Linked DNA regions of Nothobranchius furzeri. The protein of the gene in region 1 interacts with the protein of each later gene in a pairwise test. Links are inferred from orthologs where the notes say so. Each region holds a gene or a part of one and is shown in the gene's direction. Other genes may lie near its edges. The genes, in order: golga2, ncf2, ras-related protein Rab-39B, washc3, nme7, ntaq1 and arpc3.

Region 1 (2,651 bases):
AAATATATGAAAAACTAAAATGGGGAATGATACATACATTTCTACAGATGCTTGTTGTATAATATGCTGTAAACGATAATAAAGGAACATAAAACAAAAAGAAAAGTAAAATAAATTTCTAAAACATGAGAAGCATGAACTTTATCATGTTACCTACATTTATAATTTGCAATTAATTTGATAATAATCACGTATTAACTATGAAACTCATGCGATGAATTGAACATTTTATTAAATGTCTTTATTTAGATTGATACTGTGCAGCCTAAATTTCTCATTAAAGCTTGGTTTATTTTAACAGTTTTAGAATTAAATGTAGTGTTTCCTGTTCACTGATGCTTACCTCTGATCTATTAGGTCAAACTAGCAGAGCTGCAGGATCTGGTCATGAGGCTGGTGGCTGAGAGGAACGACTGGTACAACCGCTACGCTGGAGCTGTAGCCAACATGGGGGCGGTCAACCCAGACCTGCTTCCTGTTGGACAGGACCACTCTCTTTCAGAGCACCAAACAGGATCTGAGGTTCACGCCGTCAGTGGAGACGGTGAGCACTAGTAGATGCACTAAATCACTAACTGAGCGCTGCAATTTCAGCTTCGTTTCTCTTTTTAGTGGCACTGTTAAAGTAAAAGTCCAATTAGTTATCACACACTGATGAAATTCATCTCTGCGTTTGACCCATTCCCTTGAGGAGCGGTGAGCTGTAGCTGTGGCTGCGCTCAGGAACTATTTGGTGGTTTAACCCCCCCCCCCCCCCCCAATCCAACCCCGCAAAGCTGAGTGTCAAGCAGGGAGGTATTGGGTCCTATTTTTAAAGTCTTTGGTACGACCCAACTCTACTAGAACCACGATCTCTTAGGGCTGGGCAATAAATCGAAAATTTATCCTTATCGAAATTTCTGACTCTTATCGAGATAAATTTTCCCATGTCAATAAATTTGATAATAAAACAATGAAAATTTGTGTAGGTTGGCAACGTTCATGTCCATTTCAGATGCTATACCACCTTGAGTCACATAAAAATGTGATTCAACATAATACATGTGACAGCCCCATCTAGTGGGCTGCATGGTGGAGCAGTTGTTAGCACTCTTGCCTGGCAGCAAGAAGGTTGCAGGTTCGAAACTCGGCCCTGGCCTTTTTGCGTGGAGTTGCGTGTTCTCCCCATGCATGCGTGGGTTTCTTCCAGGCACTCCGGTTTCCCCTACAGATCACAGCATGACCTACAAGTTAAAAATTGTACGTCGCTTTGGATAAAAGCGTCTGCCAAATAAATAAACATAAACATAGAGGACAACTTTTGTTTCTGTGCATACCTGTAGTTATCGTCCATTTATCGTTATCGAGGTTAAATCCTCACTATATCGTGATACTGATTTTAGACCATATCGCCCAGCCCTATCAGACACTCTACCTCTAGGCCTCTGAGAAGGTTGGTGAGACGTTCTTAGATTTCTAGTGGTTCTCATTTAATTTTTGATTAATTCAGGCTTCAAAAAGGCAAATTTGGTGAATGGAATCTTTAAACTGACCCTTTACAAAATGGTCCAATAATTTTGTCTGTATTAAAGTGACAGAAAACGTGATGCTTTTGCTCAGGTGCTCTTGTAACAACAACACATTGTCATTTTCAGACAGATTGTGAATTTCTTCTATATATTTGCAGAGGTTCACTAGTTTTTCTTTTCCACAGAAGCCATGGAGGTCATCCCGCTGTCTGAGCCTCCCAATGGTCTTGAAGCTTCATCATCCCAGACGCTATCACGTGGACTTGTTCAGACTGAATCCAAACCACTGGGGCCAAAGGAGGATGGCACAGCCTGGCAAATCATGCAGCTCCTCCAGGAGATCCAGAACCCACAGGGGGCTCAGAGGTCACCCCACTTCCTAGGAGAGAACCCTTGCATCCCGTTCTTTTATCGGCCTGACGAGCAGGATGAAGTCAAGGTCCTGGTGGTGTGAGCTGTGGACATGTCCTGAGATGTTAACCCCTACAGTTTACCACATTTGTAGCCTCTTGATCAGATTTACAAATGCTCCTTACAGAGTTTGACTCCTTAAAACTGGTCAGATTTAGGAAAAATGTGTCCAAGTTACGTTGAGTCGCCCCTTTTTGTTATCATCCCTTTTGTTTTTTTTAATTATTTTTTATGTGAGTTAATCATTCTTCTTAAATGCAAATTGATTAATCTCGAATTTTGAATTCGTGTCACCCATCTCACACAAATGTGCAATAAAACAGGGCGTCAGTTGGTCCCCTCGCTGGTACAGTCCCTAAAGAACTGTAAAGAACTTTAAATTAGTGACTTTTTTTACACGCAAATGTTTCTTTCCTCACTGCACACATGCCAAAGAGCAGCACCACAACTGAATGTATTAACCCTGATATTTACGTGTGTGTGTGTGTGTGAGAGAGGGAGAGAAATGTGAAGAGGACGGTGCAGAGATGGGACGTCAGTACGGCTGGCCTAACTAATGAACGCAGACTGGTGAAGCTAGGTCAGAGCTGGATGAAGTTACTCAGTCAAGTTCAGGCAGAGACGAGGGCGCCGGTGGTTCAAAAACCACCATGTTCATTTTTTATTTTTGTTTTGTGTCCAACACTGAAAATAACTGGCCTTTCTACATCTACCGTTCATAGCTGTGAAGTG
Region 2 (4,326 bases), on another chromosome or scaffold:
ACAACATTGTTCCAAGGTCCATCTTGTTAGCTCACATTAGCCAACTCTGGAGCTAGCTGTGTGTAAATACGGACACAAAAGGGTGCTCCGAGCTACCAACACAAATAATATAGCAACTTAATCTAAACAGTCATACCAAACATGACTTATTTCTTGTTAATCCTTACATAGCTCCAATTTTCATTTGTTCTACGCATCATAAAGGTTCGTACTCCGAAAGTGTAGTAGAGCCATGTTTGTTTAGCTAGCGATGAGCTAACGGATAAACGTTTTTACTCTATCAAAATAAGAGCATTTTATACATTCAAGTAAAGAAGATACGTTATTATTGAAAGGCGAAATCGTTGAATTCCTTGAGAATATATAAATACACATTTATAATATGATGTTAGTGTTGTAAGAAAACGCACCAGTATTTTGTGATTATAGTCATGTCACAAGAAATTTATTTTGAAAGGAAAAACCCGGAAGTTGTTTTTGTGCATTTGGCACAAAAACACATCATATATTTACTAAATAAATATTGCAGCTCAATAAATTTAGAATTATTAAAGAAGAACAAACAATAATCTGAACATTACTTATTTCAGTAAAAATGTCTGAATGTCATCAAAGTTAAGGTCGTTACAACACTGGAAATCAATTTGAGTTTTGGATTTAACATTGTCAAAGTGCCATGTTTGTTTGTAAATTTACAAAATAAAGTTAAAAAATAATTATTTAAAAAATACTAGAAATCAATTAGATGTGAAACATTTTTCATTATGCATCTCAAGCTTTTCTGCTTATAAAATGCCAACGTTAGTTTAGAGCTAAACACACACACACACACACACACACACACACACACACACACACACACACACACACACACACACACACATTTAAACCCACAATTTATTCAAAGATAGAAAATCTCTAGAATCTAAATCATAAAGCTTTTGTTAACTGTAGGCTAATATTGATGGAACTCAAATAGAGCATTTGACATACCAGATAAAAAATAAACACAAGACCATCTGAAAAAGTAGATATAAAAATATACATATTTCCTGGACACAATGTGCAAATTGTTTGGTACATCAGCAGTAAGTTAGAGTGCAATTATTGCACTGAACGGGAGAAAATAATTTAAATGTGGCTTTAGCACTTAGAGCTGATTGTGATGCATTTGTAAATCGTAACAGCTGTCATCACACTTCCCAGTTTCACTGGTACAAATAAGAAGAACTTCCTCAATGTAGAATCAGTGTGCTGGTAAGCCAACAAACATGTCTTATGTGGACACTCTGCGGCAGTGGGACAAAGCTGTAACTTGTGCCGACAGACAGGAATGGTCAGAAGCCCTCTGCATTTTCTTATCCATTCAAGAACCAAATTCCAAAATTTACTTTGACATTGGTTGCCTTCATCTTCTGAACCAAGACTTGGATGATGCTGAAAAGGTACGTTAGATCTACTTTATTTTAAATCAAATCTGCAAGTCTGTGCACGTAAGAAAGTAAAATCATCTGGATTTATTTGGCAAGGCTGAGATGAAACGTGTCAGATATAAGGAGCCCTCCGGTTGGCTCACGGGTCCCCTGAACAGATCAAACAGGATCAGAAAATATTCAATTTCAATTTTCTTGGCAGCTGAGGACCCATGGTCCGGAAGGACGTGACTTAGGCTCCCTATAGAGGTTTCTGAAAGTGCAAGTCACAGTGAAAGAAGAAGTGGTGTCACCGGCTTTCTGCTCCTTTAGAGGAAGTTATTTTCTTACCTGTTATTTCTCAGGCGTTTGACTGCAGCATTCGCAAGGATGAGCATTTGGCAGTTGCCTTCTTTCAGAGGGGAATGACATTTTACAAAAAGAAAAGGTAAATTACATCAAATGTTTTATAAAACTTGCCTTATGTGTAATAATTATTACCTTTACTTGTCTTGGTCACAGGTATGAGGAGAGTTCAGCTGATTTCCAGAGAGCCTTTAAAGCTCTGAGGGGTAACCAGCTGATCGATTACAAAGCACTAGGTCTCAGATACATCCTATATGCCTGTGAGGTGAGCTTTAGCTCTACTGTCCGTCAGAAATCTGAGGTTAAAATAAAGCTGGCTGATGATGGTAATTCCTCATTTTCAATGTGATTTATATATTCTTGCAAAGAGGAAACCGTTGAAGCCTCAGCTCTTCCTAATTCAGTTTTCAATATGAGGGCTTCAAATAAACCTGATAAGACGGTGTGACTGAAAAGCTCCTAACTCAGTGTCACGTCGACACCTCCTGCTTCAGGTTCTCCACAATCTTGCCCTGGCTGAAGCTAAGCTGGGTAGCTGGGAAAAGGCCCAGGAAAACCTGGTCAAGGCACTGGACTACAAGACAGATGCCAAGCTCAGCCTCATCGACAGGGCTCTGCAGTCAACCCTGGTCAGTTACGATCATCCTCTCATAAAATACGGTTACACTTCATTAATATAATTCAATTACACACATCCACATATGTTTAGAAATCAACATTTTATCAGCATAGGTGTTGGCTATTTGGGTTTTGGAAGGAAGAAGATACAGTGGGGCAAAAAAGTATTTAGTCAGCCACCGATTGTGCAAGTTCTCCCACTTAAAATGATGACAGAGGTCAGTAATTTTCATCATAGGTACACTTCACCTGTGAGAGACAGAATGTGAAAAAAAATCCATGAATTCTCATGGCAGGATTTTAAAATAATTTATTTGTAAATCAGGGTGGAAAATAAATATTTGGTCAATAACAAAAATTCAACTCAATACTTTGTAACATAACCTTTGTTGGCAATAACAGAGGTCAAACGATTACTATAGGTCTTTACCAGGTTTGCACACACAGTAGCTGGTATTTTGGCCCATTCCTCCATGCAGATCTTCTCGAGAGCAGTGATGTTTTGGGGCTGTCGCCGAGCAACACGGACTTTCAACTCCCTCCACAGATTTTCTATGGGGTTGAGGTCTGGAGACTGGCTAGGCCACTCCAGGACTTTCAAATGCTTCTTACGGAGCCACTCCTTTGTTGCCCGGGCGGTGTGTTTGGGATCATTGTCGTGTTGGAAGACCCAGCCACGTTTCATCTTCAAAGCTCTCACTGATGGAAGGAGGTTTTGTCTCAGAATCTCACGATACATGGCCCCATTCATTCTGTCCTTAACACGGATCAGTCGTCCTGTCCCCTTAGCAGAAAAACAGCCCCAAAGCATGATGTTCCCACCCCCATGCTTCACAGTAGGAATGGTGTTCTTGGGATGCAACTCAGTATTCTTCTTCCTCCAAACACGGCGAGTTGAGTTTATACCAAAAAGTTCTACTTTGGTTTCATCTGACCACATGACATTCTCCCAATCCTCTGCTGTATCATCCATGTGCTCTCTGGTAAACTTCAGACGTGCCTGGACATGCAATGGCTTCAGCAGCGGAACACGTCTGGCACTGCAGGATTTGATTCCCTGCCGTTGTAGTGTGTTACTGATGGTGACCTTTGTTACTGTGGTCCCAGCTCTCTGCAGGTCATTCACCAGGTCCCCCCCCCCCCCCCCCCCCCCGTGTGGTTCTGGGATTCTTGCTCACCGTTCTCATGATCATTTTGACCCCACGGGATGAGATCTTGCGTGGAGCCCCAGATCGAGGGAGATTATCAGTGGTCTTGTATGTCTTCCGTTTTCTGATAATTGCTCCCACAGTTGATTTTTTCACACCAAGCTGCTTGCCTATTGTAGATTCACTCTTCCCAGTCTGGTGCAGGTCTACGATTCTTTTCCTTGTGTCCTTCGAAAGCTCTTTGGTATTGGCCATAGTGGAGTTTGGAGTCTGACTATTTGAGGCTGTGGACAGGTGTCTTTTATACAGATAATGAGTTCAAACAGGTGCCATTAATACAGGTAACGAGTGGAGGACAGAAAAGCTTCTTAAAGAAGACGTTACAGGTCTGTGAGAGCCAGAGATTTTCCTTGTTTGAAGCGACCAAATGCTTATTTTCCACCCTGATTTACAAATAAATTCTTTAAAAATCCTGCCATGTGAATTCATAGATTTTTTTTTCACATTCTGTCTCTCACAGTTGAAGTGTACCTATGATGAAAATTACTGACCTCTGTCATCATTTTAAGTGGGAGAACTTGCACAATCGGTGGCTGACTAAATACTTTTTTGCCCCACTGTAAGTGAATCTTCTAAAATCCCAAAATCTTTCAAATTAATTTAAGTAATACTTTTCAATATGTGTTTTTTTTTTCTGACAGAAACAAAAGCTTTTCAAACCGGTGGAATTCCCTTTGAAAATGCTGTTTAGACCAAACAAGCACTATGTGGCTGAGCTGGAG
Region 3 (4,443 bases), on another chromosome or scaffold:
CACACACACACACACACACACACACACACACACACACACACACACACGCAAGATCTGCCATAAAATCAAAAAACATGATTACTTTATCTTGACTGGATTAAAATACCTTGTACCATCTGTTTTGGTTTGACCGATCTGATTATTGATGCCACTCTTGGGAGGAATTCATCCTAATTCTAAATGTTAACAACCCTCTGTTTGAGTCGAGCTGGTTTAGATTGATTAAATCTGTTAACCTAGTTTAAATTGATGAAGTGTCTTGTTGTTTGAAAAACATTCCTTCGTTGATGGAACAGAATTAAAGTTACAGATGGAACTTAATGACGTGCTCCGATCACAAAACAATGCACTAGATTAACTATTAACTAATCTTTTACTTGCTCACATTTTCTAAACACTTCAAAAATATGTTGGCCAATGTTTCAGATCAATATGTCATGCAGGGCAAACAGCAATGACCTCATTTAATCCACCCACCTGTCAACATATTTTATTAATTTAGTTAAACATCTAATCTTAGCTTGAGATGTTATTTTTAAGAAAAATGTTTTAAATATCAAAACTTTTCATCAACATTTCATTCAACAGACTGTTAAAATGATATGAAAAAGGCAAAAATATTTTGATGCTTCTGAATGACCAGTTTATTTCTGTTTTAAAGTGATTCTTTTTTTTCCAAAACACACACACACACACACAGTGGAGTACATTTGTTTTTTTTTTAATAATAAATGACTGCAAAGTAACATACAAGAGGCCACAAGTATAGCATTTTTTTACACACAAACCTTTCCTGGGTACAATTTTTTTATTTACTTATTTTCCCCCTTTCATTTTTGTCCTATTTGTCATATTTATTTGATCATCTGTAAGTCTGAAAGCTATTTTTCAGATGGGCAGTTTGTGTAATTTCAAGAGGCGTCTCTTTATGGGGGGAGGCTGGGGTTAAACAAAGGCCACACCAAACCATCAATTTTCTCATGCATTTTCTCCATGCAGGGTCACGGGGGGCTGGTGCCTATCTCCAGCAGTCAACGGGCAAACAAGTGGGGTACATGGACAGATTGCCAGTCCATCGCAGGGCAACACAGAGACACACAGGACAAACAACCATGCACACACACACATCTAAGGATAATTTAGACAGACCAATTAACGTGACAGTCATGTTTTTGGACTGTGGGAGGAAGCTGGAGAACCTACACACACACACAGGAAAAACATGCAAACTCCATGCAGAAAGATCCCAGGCTGGGATGAGATCTCAAGACCTTCCTGCTGCAAGGCAACAGCGCTAACCACTGCTCCACCAAACCAATAACTTTTAATTAACGCAAAAATAAATAATTTTTTATTATTATTTGTCAAACACATAAACTCACAATAGGAGTTTTTTTAGGCCATTAAACAACTTAACACGTTTTTTCTGCTTGCATGTATATAAGACTACAATTCCCGCTGGCAATAGCGCGAACGGTGACCACTTCCGCGACTGCGCACTGCAGCTACAGCTCAGGGACAGATTGTGCAACTTCCTGGCTGTTGTTCGACTCTCCTAAGAAAAATAAACGCTTCAAACACGTTTAAAAGCGTTCAGATTTTAAACTCGTTGTTGGATAACATGTTTATTTAGAATGTCATCCACTGTGAGGCTTATTGTAGCAAGTTTAAGAGGCTAAATATTAGCCACGTGATCTAGCTACATTTGCACTGTCACTGCTGATATGTCGAGAGTTTTATGGTCAGAAAACAAACATATCATTTGTCTGTTTATGTGACGCTGGATAACATATAAACACGTCTGTGTATTTTTTTTAGCTCCGTTTCGCAGTTAAGGAAGTGTTCGGAGTTTCTCGTTGCGGCCGTGCTCGCTCCTTTACGGTAGTAGTGGTACTGATGCGGGATGAGTCAGGCTATATGATGCTGCTCCTCCCGCTGCCATTTCATCAGCAGCCAAAAGCTACAAACACTCAGCAAACACAGAAGTGATACGGTGGGATTCCCCCTCCTTTCTCCACGTCCGACGGGTCCAGGCAGAAACAGCTGCCGAAAAGAAGAACAACGGACTCGGGAAGCACGTGAGAGTGAAATCCGGTGTGTTTTTAAAGCTGCACCTGCTCTGAATGCGTTTTTTCTTCAGCGGGCCTGGCACTGGGACACAATTAGCCCTTGACTCCGGGGCCCTGCTTTGGCTACATCTGTTTTGTGTTCGAGTTTCAGGTTAAACATCGAGTGTTTTGCTTTTATCGTTTATTTTTTGACGCCGTGATCTCGCTGCACCCCGAGCATCGATCCAGCCAGACTAGTCGGAGCCATGGAGCCGGCCTCATCCAGGTCCTGATCGGCGTAAAGAAGAGCAACAACCAGGGCCTAAAGCGAAGTCCTCTCTTGCTTTAAACAGGCTCCGTCTCCTCACAATCAGGTCTGTCTTCTAATACTAACCTTTCAATCGGTTCAGCAGCACACGAGTTAACTTTGTCAACCATTTTCAAAGATTAAATTACCGTACTTGGACTAGTTAATGAAAAAGTGTTTTAACTGATAGTTAATCATCAACAGGACCGTGGATTTTGGGAAATGTTGCTGTTAAAATCACCTTTGATTCACTAAACGCACGATCATCTAAAAACAAACAAACATTGTTTACTCAAATATGTGGCAAGCCGTTATAGGACATAATTATACCACACTTCTATTTTAAAAATGATAGACTTCTTAATAATTAGAATAATAATTATAATTCATGTAAAATTACTTTCCAGCATGTAAACATTAATCCTCAGTTAGTACGTCAATATGTTTTTTAAACTCTGATATGTCACTATTATTATTATTTTTTGTTCAACGTTAAACCATAAGCACATAGTATTAGTTGGTGAAGCGTCTTGTCCTGGTTCCATTGATCAAAAATGTGTAAAAATACACTGCTTACTTGTACTGCCATATTGTATTTGTAGACCCGGCACACACTCAGAACAGCCGACCTACTGACACTCACTCCCCAAAACCACAGCGCTTTTAAAGCGTCACATCACGACTAACTGTGTTGAAAAAATTCATATTAAAAATCTGGTAGCACGTTTTCCCGCATTCCTCCATAAATATTAACCGTGATTTTGTAGAGTTTTGTAATGACAATGTTGCCCATCATTAATTAAATCCTGATGTTAAGCGGTACATAATGTAATAGACACGTTTTATTTCCACGCTCCCTTGCCACAGGTAGCAATTAAGATGCAAAATGGCTGCAAAAGCGTTCCACACATCTGGTTTTGCGAGGTCACAAAATCACCAGATAATTCTGCAGTTCAGGTGGTTAAGTTAAAGTCCCATTAGTCATCATCACACACTGGTGAAATTACATCTCTGCTTTTGACCCATCCCCGTGGGGAGCGGTGAGCTGCAGCTGTGGCTAGGGCTGCTCGATTATGGCAAAAATAATAATCACGATTATGGTGACTGAAATTGAGATCTCGATTATTTAGGACGATTTTTCAATTTATGTTGATTTTATTTGTTTTTATTCAGTCATAAAATTGCTCAGGGCACAATCAGGACAAAAATAAATAAGAAACAAGATGATCACTAAAATAACTCCTGATTCCCAGTAAAAAAAGACCAATATACTTGTAGCTCATAGTCTATGACCCAAGGGCTATAGACCTTGGTTTAACTCATTCAAGTCTAACCAGTACAGACCCAAATACCAATATCTTGCAAATACTGACAGCAAGAATTATACAGTGGCATTTATAACAAATAAATGCAAAAAAATTGATGTTCACAAAATGTTGCATAACATTTATTGAGTCGTGTCAATGTGCTGTAGGAGAGTACACTAGCACCGTGTCCTCAGAGAGATTAGTTATTTATCAGCGTGAGGAAGTTATTTCTACCTTATTTATAAACTATTTATTTACAAGTCGTCCATCAGTTAATGTAATAATTGTCCCAACCACAGCTGCACCCCCCACCCGGTCTCACAGCAATTGGGGCAAGCTGTACGTGTGTTTAGCGCACCGCACATTTAGCCGTTTTTAGTGGCTCAGGAGTCCGCAGGTGCGGTGTGTGTGTCACTCACTTTGGTTACTCCAACAGGGAGCCGGCTCCGAGAGCTGTTTCTTTAGTGACTGACACTTCACTACATCATTCCCTTTCCTAATGTCCTGAAGAAAGGTCCGGAGCGCAGGCGGAGTGTTTAGCTAACCTGCAGGAAACGTCGACAACGACAGTTATCCAGAAAGTAGCTAAGGGTTACCAGAGATGTTTCTGAGGTGTTCGCTAGGTACTTTTAAGATTTAAAAAGTCAAGAAGCGGGTCTGAAAAGCTGTTAGAAACAGCGTCAAAGTCGCCAAGTTGGCAACACTTTGGGAGGAGCGCTTCATTTGCAACTCGGGGCAGCGCAAGTGGGAGGAGCAAATAATCGGCTTGTTTTGTTTTTAT
Region 4 (4,361 bases), on another chromosome or scaffold:
ACTCAGAGAGCGCTCTTCAAGAAAACATTGACATTTGCATCAAGTATCATTAGTTTACATACGTCTGTGGTTGCAGAGGTAACTGGGAATCCCTCCAAGTAGGTCTGGATCACATCAGAATCAACATCGTGTCGAGCAGAACCCTTGCACAACTCCAAAATCAACTGAAATATCATCAAAATATGTTAATGCACGACTGAGACACCAAAACAAGAACGTTTGCATGTGAAACAAAACACCATTCACCCTGGCCTTCAATCCGAGAAGGAGATGCGCTCTCTGTCTGTGGTTGATCAAACCAGGAACTGCTTCTGTCAGCATGGACACAAACTCCTGCAGCTTCCCATAGTTCATCACATCTTTCCCCTTCATCAGATTCCACATAGCAGCAGACAGAAGATGCAAGGGAGGCACCAGGAGGCGAAAGGAGGGCAAAGGGAAGTTTGGGTCTGAAACATTAATGTGTAAAGTCAGAAATGACCGATGGAGGGCAGTAACACACCCCCTAATTCAGAGAGCATTCAGAGTACTTGCAGGAAACAGCAGGTGGATAAAATTTTCACGATGTGATTTTGCAAAGTTCTCACATTTTACACATAACTGAAACAGTTATTGGCTTCATACAGATAATTAAAAACAATCAAGCAATAAAACAATCACGTGATCTGTTACATTGTTGTCTGTCATTTGCTTGCTTGCTTGCTAAAGTCACTGAGACCAGTCAGTGACTGGATGCAGTTTGCTGGGTTCCTTATATAGGAAACTTTTTTTCCTGATTGGCTTAATGAACTGACCTGTATTGGAATGTTAACTATGTGAAGTGCCTCGAGACGACTCTTGTCGTGATTTGGCGCTGTATAAATAAACTTGAATTGAATTTGAGCTACAGGCTTTTGAACTGGAGAAAATCCTGGACAGATCTTTAACATTTTAGATACACAATCTGGAAAATGTCCACAGATGTTACTCAAAAGCTTCGCAACTTAGTTAAAACAATATATCGCGTAAGAGTGTCTGTACATTTAACAGCAAGCTAACTTCCACTGCGCAACAACAACAGTCTGCCAAATAATGAACATTGTGGTTCCTTTAAATAGACAGAGCCCACTGATAGTAAAACAAACACGTCTCCAGAAAATATCAGAAAGGCAAACTGGTAACATACATACCCTCCATTTTTTCTTTTGATTCCACAACTTCCATTAAAGCATCCCACCAAGTGAATTTGAGGAATCTGTGTATATTTGTGCTGTTTGTTTTGGTGGCTAATGCGCTATTAGAGCGCAAGCATCGCTTCCTCAAGTATTCACTCAAGTTTCCGCTTTTCAAAATATATGTCTGAAAGACGTGTTTTGGTGTTTTCTAATGAATTTCAGAATGCTATTATTTTCAAGTTCTTTTTTACTTCAAAGCCAATGACTAGATAAAGAAAAAGTTTAGAAAATTTCGACAGCTCGAAATATAAAAGTGTGAATTCGAGTGCATTGATGCCTCTTCAAAATAAAAGTTAATCATTTCCTTTTCCTAGAGTGACGTAATCACGTAGCCAGTCACACTGCTCAGTGTCACGTGAAGCCTTCAACGGTGTAAATGTTTTGTTTCATGTCATTTTTTCTTTCAAATTTCGTGCCATTAGACCTGAAACCACATTCCTATTCACAGGAAGTGTAAAACGCTAACATGGACGAGGACGGCCTGCCGTTAGTCGGGTCAGGAGTCGATCTTACGAAGGTTTGTGTTTCTAACTGGTTAGCTAACACTGAAAACCTGAGAACCCAAAGCTATGTTTGTGCTTTTTAACAAAATATATAATCACTAATGCAGAGAAAACTGTGGCCTTTTTCTAACTAATTTCACCTACTTGTAACTGTTTGCCTAGTCATTTTCCTTTTGGTTTGTTCTAAAGAAGTATCAAAAGAGGAAAGAACGTTTTCTCTCCGAACACTGATGTTCTATTTGAATACATCATTCATTAGATTCTATTACCGGTGTTGTGCCGAAAAGAGCTTGTCTGCGAAAATGTGCATCCCCTGCGGGAAGGCGCGTATGAGACCGCTTTTTAATAAATGTGTACAACATGAGCTGCATCCTTCCTTACAAAATGATGGTTTATGAGCAAATAAGTAAAATAAACTACTGTTTATAACATGTTTTATTTTAAGTAATATAATGCACATATAAAAGGTTAGTCATTTTGAGTCTGCTTTTTTAAACCAACAAAATTGTTTAATACTTGCTAAAACATTAGTGTCAAACGTGTTGAAAAAGGTCAATTATTTAATCATTATTTCATCATATTTGTAGTCAAAAACAAAATCTTTTCAGGAGAAACACGGATTAGAAACGTGTTCAAATTCTGAATTGCTCATAATTCAAATTCTTCTTCAATTTGCGTCTTTCGACGGGGATACACATTTCGGTAGGCGTGCTCTTTTCGGCACAACACCTGATATACAGTAGTCTGTTATTCCAAATGTTTTTCCTCCACACCGATTTGCATCCATTATATGCAAAGTCAGACATGTGGGTAGAGTAGCCAGAGATTATACTCAAATAAGAGTAGCATTACTTTCATATATGTTTACTTGAGTAGTTAAAAAAAAGTACAAAAACTGTGTTTGCAAAAAAGCTGCTCAAATAATGAGTAATCATAACAGCTCCTTTAATTTATAAAATCCATTCAAACAGATAATAGTATAATGTTATATGATAAATTATATAATGTAAAGACTTAATTAAAATGTTGCATTTCTTTTTCCTAAAAATACTCAAGTAAATATAATTAGTAACTACCCAACACAGAAAATCAGATTTGATAGTTTTCATCATTCTTTTTGCCATTAGCATTTTGTTTGATGCAAGACTTTAAAGGTAGAACTCAGCTGCTTTTAAAATTCTCTCAAATACTTGAAACTTTGCAATAATCCACAGGTTACTGTATGTTATTGTGTTGTTTAAATAACACTGCTAACACATGACCCTGGTCTGTTTATGTAGATGTTGTTTATTCTCCCTGGTGTTAATTGTTGTTTTGTACTGCTTTGTTTCAATAAAGATTTACAAAAAACATTTTAACAGCAGTAGTTAAAAGTCATTTTAGAATCCCCTCAATATTATTTAAAGCCATAACATTCAAAAATCAATTATACTAGAGGTTTATGTTTAGTAAAATAAACTATAGTAACACTTGGTAAGTTTTTAATTATACTGCTTTTATCTTTTCTCAGGTTCCTGCAATACAGCAGAGACGAATCGTTGGATTTCTCAACCAGTTTGTTGTGCACACCGTACGATTTCTTAACCAGTTTTCCACCGTGTGTGAAGAGGTTTGTGTTTGTTTGTTTGTTTTTTACTCCTTAATGCTTCTTCTGCCTCAGAATATGAACTCAAATTATGTATTTATTTATTTTTTTTACTTCTCTTCACAGAAACTTGCAAACATTTCTCTTCGCATACAGCAGATTGAAACCACACTCAGCATTTTAGAGGCTAAGGTAACTTGTGAGACCTTGATACCGTTTCTGGATGTTGTCTTTTCACTTATGCAGTGACATTGTTCTGAGCAGCTGTCCTCTATTCCTGGACTGGAGGACGTCACAGTAGAGGGCCTCAACCAACAGCAGGCCTCCCACACTAAAGGACCCAGTACTATCGGTCAGAACCTAACTAACGGTGTAGCAGCAGGACCACCTTCTTCCTCAGAGGTAGGAGTTCAGACCCACCTGCAACAGACATGCAGGTTCAATCGGCCACGATGAATGCCAAAACAGTCTTTGTGTCTTTTTTCTTGTTTGGGAGTCTGTGATGCCAAAAATCGGCAGTTGAACTTTTCTTTTTAAGTCGGAATGTAGATTGTCATCAGCTCTTTGGTCGATGCAACAAGTAGAAACCTGCCGTCAACGCAACTGTTGTTTTGTTTTCTTTTGGAGTTTACGTACAAAAAAGGCTCAACATTCCCCTCCTGTTGTAAAGGATAGACTTTTAGTTTTGAGAACCTTCAAAGAAGTATGTTTGTTACTGGCTGCTTTGTTTGCATAGTGATCGGATTGGATTTTGATTGTCCTCCTCACACTCTGACAGGATTGTAAAATCCTATCCAGAAGTGTGACGTTACATATTTACAGTGAGAAAGGTGGAAAACCTTCAGGGCAGATTTCCTGAGTCTGCAGCACAGAGTTCAGGCCGAGGTCAGTAAACAAGCCATCACTTTTGGTTAAAACAGTGCACCAGGTCAGCTCAAACACCTCCTGTCCTCTGTAAAGCACGGTGGCAGGGGGCTGATGATTTGGGCTTATTTCTGCAGTGACTGAGTCAAACATGAACTCCTCTTTACACCAAAGTGGTCAGACTTAAACTGAAGT
Region 5 (3,842 bases), on another chromosome or scaffold:
CTGTTATTGTTTTTTCCAAAGCAAATCACCGCTATCACTAAACTCTGTTAATAACAGTCATCTGGCCAACAGACATGTGAGAAGTGCTGCATCATTTGGTCACCCATTGACTTTGGTGGATGGTTTTGTTGCTTTACAGGAGCCAAGCGGAAGACTTTTACGTGGAACATCAGTCAAAGCCTTTCTTCAGGTGAGTGCTCGTGTAAATGATCTCCCAGTTCTGAGCAGAGAAGGGTTGTGATTGCCATCTAGCACTCCGACCACAACCTGTGATGGTGACATTTTAGAGTTTTTTAAATTCAAATCAGCTCCAACGTGACTCTGTTTTGCAGTGCGCTGGTGCACTTCATGTCCTCTGGGCCAGTGGTTGCCATGGAGCTGGTGGGTGACAAGGCCCTGTCGATCTGGAGGGAGCTCCTGGGACCTGCAGACTCTGCTGTGGCGTTAACAGAGGCGCCACAGAGCATCCGTGCACAGTTTGGAACAGACGCCATCAAAAATGTGGCCCATGGCTCTGACTCCATAGCTGTAGCAGCAAGAGTGAGGATTTTGACTTTGTTCTCGCTCTCTTGTGCCTTCAGTAGTCTGAGAATCGCACTTCCTGGAACGGTCATGATCATTAAAGTTTGTGTGTTTGTTTTTGTAAGGAGCTGGAATTCTTTTTTCCTTCCACGGTCGGCCATGGCCCCTCCAACACAGCCCTGTTCACAGACTGCACTTGTTGTATCATCAAACCCCACGCTGTATCAGCAGGTAAGGAGTCACTCAGGCATGGCAAAATATCTCACTTTTATTTGTATTTTGTTATTTTGAGTTCCTGTGCTGCTGGCTTGTTTCCCCCCCCCCTCCCCAACAAAGCCACCATGTGGTTTCCAAAATGGCCTTGGATTTTTCCAAATCCCAGTGCTGATCCCTGCTCCCGGGGCATGCCACCAGAGCTCTGAGCTGTGAAATGTGAAATTCTGTGCAGAGCTGATGTTTGCACACAGAAAGCTGTTGACTGGAGGTGGACCCCAGCTTTTGTTCTGCACTTACAGCAGAGAACATACAGTAATAACTACAGATCCACTAATATCTTGTTGTATCTTGAGTTTCATCATTTCTCTGGTATCTGACTGTCTTTATGTTTCAGTTTGAGCCAGCGTGACATTATATTGCACATACATGTATAAATTCATGTACCCTTGCATTTACGATGGAAACGCTCTCAATGGTCCCTGAAATAAACTTAAAGGGATTTTCCACCCCTAAGTGAAATTGAGTTTATTGCTGTATTCCCCAGAGTCAGAAAAGTCAGAAAAAAAAACCGACAAAATGATTCATTATAAAGGTTTTGTGAAAGCAAGGCTTATTTCCGTCCACTGCCTCTGGGCGATAATAAAGCCATGGTGTATCTGTGCACCGCTGCTCTCTGGCCTGCCTTCATGCTGCACCTAAACAGAACAGATCGCCCACTTTTGTTATTTCTGCAGTTACAGCCACGCTTAGCCTGCTAGGGCACGTTCAAATCTTTGGCTTGAGAAAGGAGGCGGTGAGAGAGAATACAAGTGGGCATGCTTTGTTTGTCTGCAAGGCACCGTTGAGCAACAGTTAAGCTTGCAACGAGCCGCGGTGATAAACCAGCTCGGTCCGAACGCATGGATTTCAACATTTGCTCAGTGAATACCGGTGGTTGTTGGCTGTGTTAATCATTCCTGACAGGTCACAGTGATAGTGCTCTGTGCTCGTATATAAACTTTTTATCAAACCCCGGCGTTTTCAAATGAAGGTTTCCTTCATTAGGGGGTCCAAATAAATTTAAAAAAAGTAGTTTTATGTGGAACAATAATTGCTCCCCATGTTACGTCCTGATTTATTTGTGATTAAACATATTTGTAGAGCTGGGGTGAGTTTCACCAGCCACACCCAGGCCTGCTTACTGCCACTAACTTCAACAGAACCTGTCCAACAACATGAAGTAGGCTAAAAGATCTCCATGCTCTGGTCTAAAGAACCCAACATCACCAAAGCACTGCAGACCTCATTAAGGTCAGAGGTCATGAATCAACCATGGCGACAGAGAGGTTCTACTGACCGTAATAATCCATAAGACTCATCTCACATTACATTTAGTGTAAAACTAACACTTCATTTCAGTGAAGTATCCTCATTCCAACAGTGAAGCATGGTGATGGTGGTATGATGGTCTGGGGCAGTTTTGCTGCTGCAGGACCTGGGCCACTTCCTGTAAATGATGGAACCATGAACGCTGATCCGTAGCAGAACATATCTTAAACAATGTCTCGCTTAAGCTGATGTGTTTGATGTGCTACAAGAAGTTTGGCGCTTCTTAAAACAGTTCAGTTAAAACGAATCAGTTATCTCTCAGAAAGTGTGGCATTGTTAAAACTTCAAAGCTCCTACTCAGGCGTCAGTTTCACTGCTAGAAGTGACTCCCACACTGTTTACCTTCAGAGCCGTGATATATTTGGTCCGAGCCAAGAATAGAAACCAGGCTGAATGATTTGTCCAGCTGAGGTCGACAAAAAGCTCTGCTCTGATCTCCCCTCAGAAATCTCTTCAGTAGCTCATTTATGTCGTCAAGACGGCCTGTCACCGTGGCCATGAAGGACGCTGTGAGTGAAAATTCACTCAGACATGACCGGAATAGAGAAGCTTCTGTTGCCAGGCTCCTGGAATAGTATCTCCTAGCAACAGCAGCAGCTGCTTTGTGGCGCTGCGAGGAGTGTGTGGAACCTGTGCAGTCCTGGGGAGGGCACAAAGGACTCAGGCTATTACCTAGTGCACATAACTGGACTGTGACGTAGGGAGGGAGAGATCCACAGACGGCGGCTACGCCTGGTTCCTATTGAACGTCTGCGCTGCAGCATTTAGAGTTAATGAAAACCGTCCTGGGTGACAGGTACACAAGCTACTTTTTATCAGACTGAGATTACGAGACTGGCGCCTTGATTCAATTGTGTGTCTGCAGCAGTCTGACCTTCAGAGTCACTGCAGCTGCACCACTTCTACAGCAAAGACCCAGCTCTTTGATGGGATGTACAGTTCACTATCTCGTTTCCTAAAAGGTTGCCTGGACAAAAATGCTTTCCCTCGATAGACAACACATCAGCGAGACTATCTCACTCTGTCCAGAGGACAGACTGAGGTCAGTGCACTGAGATGTACCGCTGATGTCTGAGCAGAAGCACGTTCAGTAGTGATGCATCCGGACTTCACGATAGTCAGATGCTTCACTGCAGCAGTGGATTCAGGTGTTATTTGATCTGGACGACATCTGAGATTGCTGCAGCACTAAAATACCGTGTTTGTCCTTCTGTGTAAACTCGGCTCATAAAGACTGATGAGCATCATGTGTTCACAGGGCTGACTGGGAAGATTCTTAACTCCATATCTGCAGCTGGATTTGAGATCTCAGCTCTTGGAATGGTGATTATTATTTTTCTGTGTTTGTTTCACATGAAATGAGTAAGGTCTGTAAACTCTAGCGCTTTAACAGCGACTCTTCATGCTTCCCACAGATCGATGCTGTAGAACTAACAAGCTGCTCAGTGTTACTGTGAAAGGGTTAGGGTCCATTAGGTGGAATAAAATCCCTTCATTTCAGTCTGTTGTAACAAATGGTTAATGGCCTGTATTTATACACCACTTTCTAGGGTACGACACAGCTTTTATTCACACACACACACACACACACACACACACACACACACACACACACACGCGCACACACACACACACACACACACACACACACACACACACACACACACACACACACACACACACACACACACACACACACACACACACACACGCGCGCGCGCGCGCACGCACACACA
Region 6 (3,783 bases), on another chromosome or scaffold:
CTCCAGTATAGCAGTCCACCCTGGAGGTCAGTAGGTCACAACGGCACCGCCTCAGTGTAAACGTTAAAGATAGTTCTATAGAAGAGCTTTAGTTTCACCTGTCTGACTTACCTGCAGGTGATCATGTGATCTGTGGGAGCTACGACTGCAGGATGAGCTGGTTTGACCTTGATCTCTCAACCAAACCTTACAAAATGCTGCGGTACGCTCCTAAGAGTCCATCAGTAGTCTTTGTCATTGTGCCAGTTCTAATAAAGCTTTTTGATCACTTCTTTCCTTCAGACACCATAAGAAAGCAGTGAGGGGTGTGGCCTATCACAGAGGTTACCCTCTGTTTGCCTCGGCGTCTGATGATGGATCGGTGATCGTCTGTCACGGGACTGTTTACAAGTAAGACCACAAACACACCCTGAAAATCTATTCATAACAAGACTTATAAAAGACAGGATATTAAAACTTGCCGCCGTCTCTTCCAGCGACCTGCTTCAGAACCCGCTGATAGTACCTGTAAAAGTTCTCAGAGGTCATGTGATCACCCACGATCTTGGTGTTCTGGACGTGATCTTTCACCCCACTCAGCCGTGGGTCTTTTCCTCAGGAGCTGACGCCACCATCCGGCTCTTCACCTAAAGTGTTTTAACCAGCAGCAGCTCTGTGTGTGTGTGGGAGGAGTCTGACCTCCCTAATGGACTGATTACCAGGATACCTTCTTCTTTTTTTTTTGTTTTGTTTTCTGTAGTTTATTTTATTGTTTTCAATAAAATGTATTTTATTGTTTTCAATAAAATATATTGTTCTTACAATTTGTCTCTGTATGTTAAAACTAGGAGAATTATTGATTCTTTTTTTAAAACCTACAAAATGTAGTTTTATTTGTCTGCCTTCATTTTAAAGGAGTTTGTGTTGCGGTTACCTTTTTGAAAAACAAGACCATTTATTACAGCTTTCAAAAAGGAAATAAAATTATCTAAAATTATCAACATAATTACAGCTCTAAAGGTTTTTTTTTTTTGTTTGTTTGTTTTGTTGCCAGAGGCAGAAATTAGGACTATCCCAAATATAAAGTATTTGTGCTTCAAATTTCATCATTATGGATATTTTTAACTTGAACCAAGTTTTTGGGTATTTTGTACAAAGCTTGTTTCTAATAGTAAAAGTATTTGTAATAACCATGTAAATGCACGACTGCGCAGGCCTGGGAATATTTGTTGTATCTGTTGTTTAACCAGGTTAAAGGCCTCTCTTAAGAATAAAATCTCTAAGAATATCAGCTTTCTTTATGTATCAGTTGTGCTGAACACAAGCGGGAACTATGTTTAACGAAAATATTCGGGTACCAGGGTCTGCAAAATGTTCTTAGAATATTTACTACAAACAATTTTCTTTATAATGAAGTTGGTGTGACAAGAGTTTTCAACCATGGGGACACATTTCGAAGTGACACCGTCGGAGCGGTTTCGGTGTAACACCGAACCGCGAGTTCTGTTACTGGTAAATCCATTCTGTTACATCATGAAAAAAACTTCAGTTTGTTGGGTTTTACATAATTATTCGTCAAATTTTGTAGCAAAAAACAAACAATTTTCTTTATAATGAAGTTGATGTGACAAGAGTTTTCAACCATGGGGACACATTTCGAAGTGACACCGTCGGAGCGGTTTCGGTGTAACACCGAACCATGAAGGCAGTAAAGGATCGAATCACACCGAGTCGTGAGTTCTGTGTTTACACCAGCTGTTACTGGTAAATCCATTCTGTTACATCATGATTAAAAAAAACTCCAGTTTGTTGGGTTTTACATAATTATTCATCAAATTTTGTAGCAAAACGCAGTTGGCTTAAATGGTAGCTGCTACATTCTTATGGATATGATTTTATTATTATTAGATTATTTTTGCTGTTTGATTAGTGATGTCTTAATTTGCTTTGCAGTGAGGAGAATGTGTGGAAGTTGTGTGAGTTTGTTCAAACAGCGAGGACTGCTCCACTGGAACAGCTCTTTGTGGTTTTCATCTCTAATGACAACAGAATGGTGAGAAGATCAGCTCTGAGAAGTTTGTCATGTGTTACAAAACCCTTTAAACATATTTAACTCAACAGATTTAGTCTCAACAGGTCTAAAGTTTAACAAATCATCACGAATCCCCTTAAATTTGCCAAGTTTGTATAAAGAATCAACATTTTCACTAAGATCTGACTTCTGCTGCTGCTGCTGATCAGTGATGTTATTTGTTCTCCTTCAGGTTCCTCTGTGGAAGCAGAAGTCTGGACACGCTGACCATCCAGTGATCTGGGTCTATGATTCTCCTTCCTGTTAAAGTGGCCTCAGAGCATTAAAATAATACATTGTTAATCATGTTTTTTTGGGTGTTTTAGGACTACCATGTGATCCTGCTTCATGTGGATCCTCAGTCGGAGGTTCTGGTTTATGATCTGGACACAGAGCTGTCATTCCCATGCAATCTGAGGCTTTATGGCAGCCAGGCCCTCCGCTCAGACCACCACATCAAACCTGAATATCACAGGTAGCACTGCTGAATTACACAGGTAATGCACTGGAGTGAAATCACCAACACCTTCTCATATCTGTGACAGGAAGTTGCGTGTGATTCCTGCTGAGAGCTTCCTCTTGAACTTTGCGTCTGATCGAACTCACATGAAGAACCCTGATGGGAGCTGGAAGAAGCCCCCTCCCTCTTACCCCCCTTTAAAGACCACTGGTAACAAATCAAGTTAATGTGGAGCATGTTTTCTGATTCCTGTCTTAGGAAAAGGTGATTTTGTACTTTTGGTGCATTTCCTCTTCAGGGTGTCAGATGAACCTGGATGACTTCATCAGCATGAGCCCAGCTGTTGGCTGGGGGACAGTTTTCAGTCTGAATCAGTTTCTACAGAAATACTTAGGTTGCTCCTCCACCACCTCTTCATCTTCATCATCAGCTCAATCCTGATCAGCATCCTGGCAGCTGCTGTTTTGTGATTAGCTTTTATGTTATTATGAACATTTAATCTGAAATGATTGAGAGACTGAGACAAACATTGAACTGAACTTTATGTTTTGGGCTGAGCTGCATCTCGTTTGACCTCTCTTGAGTTTCACCTTGGCCTCTGAAGCTCAGAGGAAACCAGAAACATGACGACGACAGCGCTTCAGCCATGTCACAGATTCATCTGGAAACTGAAGTGATCCTTCATCACACACGCCTGTGAGAACTTTGAGCATCAGCACCTTGATTTCACCTGAGTTCCTGAGAAATAAAAAGATTTTATTTAATCTTTGATCGCGTTGGATTCTCTGTCTCTGTAGCGCAATGATAGAATAAAAATTAAATGTATAATTGTAACTTTTGGTGTCAATTTGAATCTTGGTTTCCAGAATATTTTAACAATTAAAACTTGGTGAAATTATGCAGATTCTAGTTAACAGCAGATTTGTGTTTGGGTATAAGTTCTATTTACCGTTATAGATGACTGGTGGAACTTGTGCAATCACTTTCACCTGTCATATGTTTGTGTTCAGTATGGCAGGAGTGGTTAGGACACTGGTTTAAACAGGAGGATCAGGCATGTTTGGTTTCAAATTCTTTTCTGGAAGAAGCTCAGGACAGCAACATCCAGATAAAGTAAGCAACCTGTTTTATTTTATCAATCAAACAATCTTTAAGATTATTTTCTTTTGAGTTCTTTGTCCCTTTGAGAAATGCACATCTCTTTAGAACAAACATGAGCGACAACAACAACTCTGACCAGGACGGGGGTCGGCAACCAGCGGCTCTGGAGCCG
Region 7 (4,485 bases), about 7.0 Mb from region 1:
GGATGACTCTCTGAAATTTGGCCCTAACGGAGGTCTGGTCTTCTGCATGGAGTACTTTGCCAACAACTTTGACTGGCTGGAGGAAAGTCTGGGCCATGTGGAAGATGACTATATTCTGTTTGACTGCCCAGGTGAGTAATCTGTTTAACAAACATAACTTTAGTATTGGCTGTTAAGTTTGGTCTAATTGATCTAAAGGTAAGTCCTTTTTAAATTACATAAGTTTGAAGCTTTGTGTTGTTTTTACTTTAAACAGGTCAGATTGAACTTTACACACACGTCCCTGTGATGAGACAACTGGTGGAGCAGCTCCAGCAGTGGGAGTTTCGGGTGTGTGGGGTGTTTTTAGTCGACTCACAGTTCATGGTGGAGTCATTTAAGGTAACCATATATCTGTTCTTTTATGTTTGTGTCATTTTCTTTAGCGCAAGTTGTTTTAAACTAAGGTGCGCTCATCTTTTACGTGTTTCAACTGTAGTTTATATCTGGGGTCATGGCTGCCCTGAGTGCCATGGTGTCATTAGAAATTCCTCAAGTAAACGTCATGACAAAGATGGATCTGCTCAGCCCCAAAGCAAAGAAAGAAATAGAAAAGTAAGTTTTGCATGGTTAAAGCAAAAAAAGTATGTAGTGCCAGAGAAGTTAACATGCAACATCAGTTTTGCTTTCCATAAACTGTTTATAATTGGTAAATCTTTAAGGCAGTTGTGTATTTTTACAAGGTACCTGGACCCCGACATGTACTCTATGATGGAGGATAATTCTGACACTTTCAGAAGCCAAAAGTTCAAGAAGCTTACCAAAGCTATTTGTGGTTTGGTATGATGTCATTTATTAGATTTAGAAACATTTTTTAATGGTAAACTGACATATTTTTTCTGTTTTTTATTTTATTTTTATATATAGATAGATGACTACAGTATGGTCAGATTCTTGCCTTTTGACCGCACAGATGAGGAAGGCATTAACATAGTCATGCAGCACATCGACTTTTCCATTCAGTATGGAGAGGACCTGGAATTCAAGGAGCCTAAGGTGAAGAAACAACCATATTAACACAAATCTAATTATAATGCAAATCTTTATTATTTATTAAAACTAAATAAAATATGGTTTTCTTCTCCATCAGGAAGTTGATGAAGAACCAGCAAATTTAAACTACGATGAGCTGTTTCAAAACAAAGTTGTCTGTTGAAGAGTATTGTGATCGTGTGTCAGCTGGGAAAACAGCATGTGCATGCAGGTTTTAGATGAAGTTCAGCTGGAGAGCTTCATATCAAAAGAGGAAATGGACAATAGCTAAATAAAACTGACTTTGGACTAGTCTTTTATGTTTAAAATATTATTTTCTGTTTTTATTATTTATACAACTCAAGATTTATTTTCATTTGACAAATTAAAAATAAAAACCTGAAGTGTTGTTAAATAGATGTACTAATGTTATATTTTTTAAATAAAACATTACACAATGTGCACTTTTCTGTGACGAGATTGTTTTCAGCACCCCCCAGTGGCCGCTATGTCACACGACACGTGTTCACTTCCGGTAAAGCTACAGGGTGGGAAAGGCGGAAGCAGCGTCTGGGGGTGCACGGATATTTGTCTTGCTGAGCAGTTGGATTGATATCTTTCATTCAACATGCCGGTGAGTATATACTTTGCGATAGCTGTTGACGACAGCTATTTGTTTTTATTGATTTATGAAGCCAGAATTGTGTCATGAAACTGTCTTTATTTTACGTTAGCTGTGAAGACGGACATCTGTGGCATAGTTAGCTAGGCTCGTTAGCATTCGGTAGAAACCTACTCGTAAAATTACTTAAAATTGTCAATATTCCACTAAATGTTCCTTTTGAGGATATTAAGTTTATCATGAAATTATCCCTAGCTTCTTGAATGTAAATGAGTGAAACGTACGGTCGTCGCTAGCGCTATCGCCGTATAGAATCTGAACAGATCTGACAGCTGCTTTTTTCTGGATTTTATTTAGGCGTATCATTCAAGCTTGATGATCCCCGATACAAGGCTAGTGGGGAACATGGCCTTGCTCCCCGTTAAAACTCAATTTAAAGGACCAGCCAGAGGAGACGGTAAGTAAGCATCATAATTCTGTAATTGTCTCCACTAACGCGTTCTGTTTCCGGGTAACAGATGCATGAAAATGTCAAGAACTTGACCAGTTCTGTGCAGAGTTTTGGCTGTCATTCAGTTCCTCAAACGAGTCAGCTTCACTTCCTTATATGGGCTGAAGAATGCATCATCAACCTATGTTGTTATTTCTGGAACCCATGCATGTATTATTTGCAACAAGATGTATGATTTGTTTCAACCAACCACCAAAATTCTTTTGTACAAACAATGAAGACACAAATGAACTAAACATGACATTTTACACTCAGGGCATTGGTCTGTATTGAAAATTTTCTTTTTTCTTTTTAAACTTGCAGGGCTAGATTCTGATATTATTGAAGAAGCGATCTACTACTTCAAAGCCAACGTCTTCTTTAAGAATTATGAAATCAAGGTAAGAATTAAAGGTCGGCCGGTGTGCGTTCTTACCGATGCTCATATGTAGGAGTCATGATCAGCCAGTTTTTCTGGCTGATATCTAGATATTTTTCACCTTATCAGCATGCTAAAATGTCACTAATAACAGTTACTGCAAATCTTTTCTGAACCTGAACCAGTTTTTGAACTCTGAATATACCCAACAGTTGAATATTAATTTTGTGCACTGGTTTTTGTTAAAACAATGATTTATTAAAAGTTAATCTAACAAACAAACCAATAATCTGATCGTTTAAAATGTAAAACTGGTGGAGTGACAGTAATGTTTTAGAGCAGGGGTGTTCAGTACATTTATTGCGGTCTACCAGTCGATCTTAAAGATGGTGTGGGTAGATAGCAAGACATTAACAAAAAAAATTATGTCAACCTAAAATTGAGAGCATTTTTTGAACAGGTGTCTTTTCAGAAACATAAATATAAATTTATATAAAATTTGGCAGCTGCACCAGGCTGCCCGTGGATGTGCCTGTTCTCAAATCAGTGCTACTAAAGAAGTATATTGGATTATAAAGATTTATGTATTAAAACATTGTAAATATGAGTTTACCCCTATTAAAAATCACAAACTTTTTATGCATGGTGTTTTTATCTAGAACATAAAATATTTACAAAGAGATTTCATAAGCTTGTTTTAAGATTTTTCAGATTATAATTGCTTGTAAAATTCACCTGGAGTTCATCAGATAAAAGATGTTTAAATAAAAACTTGCCTTTGTGCATGTTCTGTCTTTCCCACCTTCCGTCTCAGAGCAGCTATGCACTTCGTATTCCATCACATGTTGGGGCTCGCTTCTTCCACTCCACTCAACACGGTTTCTTCATCATAGCTGCCCTGGATTTAAGCCTTTTGTAACATTAGCATTAATGCTGTAGGGAAACATGACTGCTTTAAACTAAATCACTTAAAAGTGCGTTATATTTTTTTCAGAATGAGGCAGACAGGACCCTGATCTACATCACACTCTACATTTCTGAGTGTCTGAAGAAGCTACAGAAGGTGAGTTTATAACATCTGTATCATTAAAGTGTACAGTGTTAACAGCTGTTGTATTCGATGGGTGAAAATGTTTAGTGGTAGCATTTAAAATGCTTGTTTGAAAGTAGAAGCGTCTCAGTCGGGCCTGGAAACCAGAGAGCTCAATAGCTGGGTTTTGGTGCATAAAGTGTGCTTCTAGAAAGAAGCACATGTGTGATTTATTAATTTATAATCATTTCTAATCTAGGGCATGTAAAATGGGTTTCACTGAACATTTTTTGCTTTAATCCTTGCAGTGCAGCTCCAGGAATCAAGGAGAGAAGGAGATGTACACTCTAGGCATCACAAATTTCCCCATCCCTGGAGAGCCTGGCTTCCCTCTTAATGCCATGTATGTGAAGCCCTCAAACAAGCAGGAGGAAGGTGAGCGATGGCATTAAACGATCAACTAAACATAAAGCTGTACTTCTGTCTGTCTGAGCTTGTTTTAGAAGGAAGAAAAAAGCATAAAGGTTGGATTAGGGCTGCAGCTATCGAATATTTTTATAATTGAGTACTCTATCGAATCTTATCGATTGAGTACTCTAATAAATTACTCTTTTGTGTTTGTAAACCATTATATCAAATAGCCTGTTATAAAATATGAGCGGCCTCTTAAAATGAGCAAGCAATTACCAGTTATTCAAGTTTTATTCAAAATTAGTTTTCAGAACTTCAGCACTTCAACTTCACTTCACAGTAAACAAATGTGAGCGGCTGCGACCCAAACAGCACCAGAACCGCTCACGGCGCATGCGCAAACATGGCTCGCCAGCTGTTTCCCCATTAACACACGTCCGTTTTAATTTCTACACTTTTTTTCTCACACAATAAAAAGGATTGTCAAGAAAGCATGTTTGCCGTGATTATGTAAATTATACTGATCACAAAACATTTATTTA

What was found.
Region 2: the proteins of golga2 (region 1) and ncf2 interact in binary tests that used the Homo sapiens proteins (3 or more experiments, as listed by UniProt). The two-hybrid records come from large-scale screens. The link is inferred for Nothobranchius furzeri from reciprocal best matches to the Homo sapiens genes GOLGA2 and NCF2.
Region 3: the proteins of golga2 (region 1) and ras-related protein Rab-39B interact in binary tests that used the Homo sapiens proteins (3 or more experiments, as listed by UniProt). The two-hybrid records come from large-scale screens. The link is inferred for Nothobranchius furzeri from reciprocal best matches to the Homo sapiens genes GOLGA2 and RAB39B.
Region 4: the proteins of golga2 (region 1) and washc3 interact in binary tests that used the Homo sapiens proteins (3 or more experiments, as listed by UniProt). The two-hybrid records come from large-scale screens. The link is inferred for Nothobranchius furzeri from reciprocal best matches to the Homo sapiens genes GOLGA2 and WASHC3.
Region 5: the proteins of golga2 (region 1) and nme7 interact in binary tests that used the Homo sapiens proteins (3 or more experiments, as listed by UniProt). The two-hybrid records come from large-scale screens. The link is inferred for Nothobranchius furzeri from reciprocal best matches to the Homo sapiens genes GOLGA2 and NME7.
Region 6: the proteins of golga2 (region 1) and ntaq1 interact in binary tests that used the Homo sapiens proteins (3 or more experiments, as listed by UniProt). The two-hybrid records come from large-scale screens. The link is inferred for Nothobranchius furzeri from reciprocal best matches to the Homo sapiens genes GOLGA2 and NTAQ1.
Region 7: the proteins of golga2 (region 1) and arpc3 interact in binary tests that used the Homo sapiens proteins (3 or more experiments, as listed by UniProt). The two-hybrid records come from large-scale screens. The link is inferred for Nothobranchius furzeri from reciprocal best matches to the Homo sapiens genes GOLGA2 and ARPC3.

Annotation. Positions count from the first base shown.
Region 1 is NC_091746.1:54,867,005-54,869,655, reverse strand, and holds part of golga2 (golgin subfamily A member 2), read left to right. Parts: intron 1-357; coding exon 358-544; intron 545-1,693; coding exon 1,694-1,962; 3' UTR 1,963-2,651. UniProt on the Homo sapiens protein: Peripheral membrane component of the cis-Golgi stack that acts as a membrane skeleton that maintains the structure of the Golgi apparatus, and as a vesicle thether that facilitates vesicle fusion to the Golgi membrane.
Region 2 is NC_091747.1:36,775,536-36,779,861, reverse strand, and holds the start of ncf2 (neutrophil cytosol factor 2), read left to right. Parts: upstream 1-1,249; 5' UTR 1,250-1,271; coding exon 1,272-1,445; intron 1,446-1,777; coding exon 1,778-1,860; intron 1,861-1,934; coding exon 1,935-2,043; intron 2,044-2,272; coding exon 2,273-2,407; intron 2,408-4,245; coding exon 4,246-4,326. Other genes in the region: garem (GRB2-associated and regulator of MAPK protein 1), read right to left, coding at 1-22. UniProt on the Homo sapiens protein: Subunit of the phagocyte NADPH oxidase complex that mediates the transfer of electrons from cytosolic NADPH to O2 to produce the superoxide anion (O2(-)).
Region 3 is NC_091742.1:80,053,188-80,057,630, forward strand, and holds the start of ras-related protein Rab-39B, read left to right. Parts: upstream 1-1,506; 5' UTR 1,507-1,741; intron 1,742-1,818; 5' UTR 1,819-2,422; intron 2,423-4,443. UniProt on the Homo sapiens protein: The small GTPases Rab are key regulators of intracellular membrane trafficking, from the formation of transport vesicles to their fusion with membranes.
Region 4 is NC_091741.1:43,372,323-43,376,683, reverse strand, and holds the start of washc3 (WASH complex subunit 3), read left to right. Parts: upstream 1-1,545; 5' UTR 1,546-1,680; coding exon 1,681-1,731; intron 1,732-3,227; coding exon 3,228-3,326; intron 3,327-3,428; coding exon 3,429-3,494; intron 3,495-3,566; coding exon 3,567-3,704; intron 3,705-4,361. Other genes in the region: uncharacterized protein, read right to left, coding at 63-164, 247-449, 1,170-1,203. UniProt on the Homo sapiens protein: Acts as a component of the WASH core complex that functions as a nucleation-promoting factor (NPF) at the surface of endosomes, where it recruits and activates the Arp2/3 complex to induce actin polymerization, playing a key role in the fission of tubules that serve as transport intermediates during endosome sorting.
Region 5 is NC_091756.1:61,686,751-61,690,592, reverse strand, and holds part of nme7 (nucleoside diphosphate kinase homolog 7), read left to right. Parts: intron 1-139; coding exon 140-190; intron 191-332; coding exon 333-540; intron 541-647; coding exon 648-753; intron 754-3,364; coding exon 3,365-3,429; intron 3,430-3,842. UniProt on the Homo sapiens protein: Possesses an intrinsic kinase activity. Displays 3'-5' exonuclease activity with a preference for single-stranded DNA. Does not seem to have nucleoside diphosphate kinase activity.
Region 6 is NC_091759.1:9,346,391-9,350,173, forward strand, and holds ntaq1 (protein N-terminal glutamine amidohydrolase), read left to right. Parts: upstream 1-1,584; 5' UTR 1,585-1,678; coding exon 1,679-1,743; intron 1,744-1,932; coding exon 1,933-2,032; intron 2,033-2,243; coding exon 2,244-2,294; intron 2,295-2,376; coding exon 2,377-2,525; intron 2,526-2,595; coding exon 2,596-2,720; intron 2,721-2,808; coding exon 2,809-2,951; 3' UTR 2,952-3,279; downstream 3,280-3,783. Other genes in the region: ribosome biogenesis protein bop1, read left to right, coding at 1-26, 118-202, 283-390, 477-630. UniProt on the Homo sapiens protein: Mediates the side-chain deamidation of N-terminal glutamine residues to glutamate, an important step in N-end rule pathway of protein degradation.
Region 7 is NC_091746.1:47,862,013-47,866,497, forward strand, and holds the start of arpc3 (actin-related protein 2/3 complex subunit 3), read left to right. Parts: upstream 1-1,524; 5' UTR 1,525-1,639; coding exon 1,640-1,645; intron 1,646-1,990; coding exon 1,991-2,090; intron 2,091-2,447; coding exon 2,448-2,524; intron 2,525-3,496; coding exon 3,497-3,565; intron 3,566-3,840; coding exon 3,841-3,967; intron 3,968-4,485. Other genes in the region: gpn3 (GPN-loop GTPase 3), read left to right, coding at 1-131, 257-381, 479-594, 723-819, 907-1,035, 1,130-1,195. UniProt on the Homo sapiens protein: Component of the Arp2/3 complex, a multiprotein complex that mediates actin polymerization upon stimulation by nucleation-promoting factor (NPF).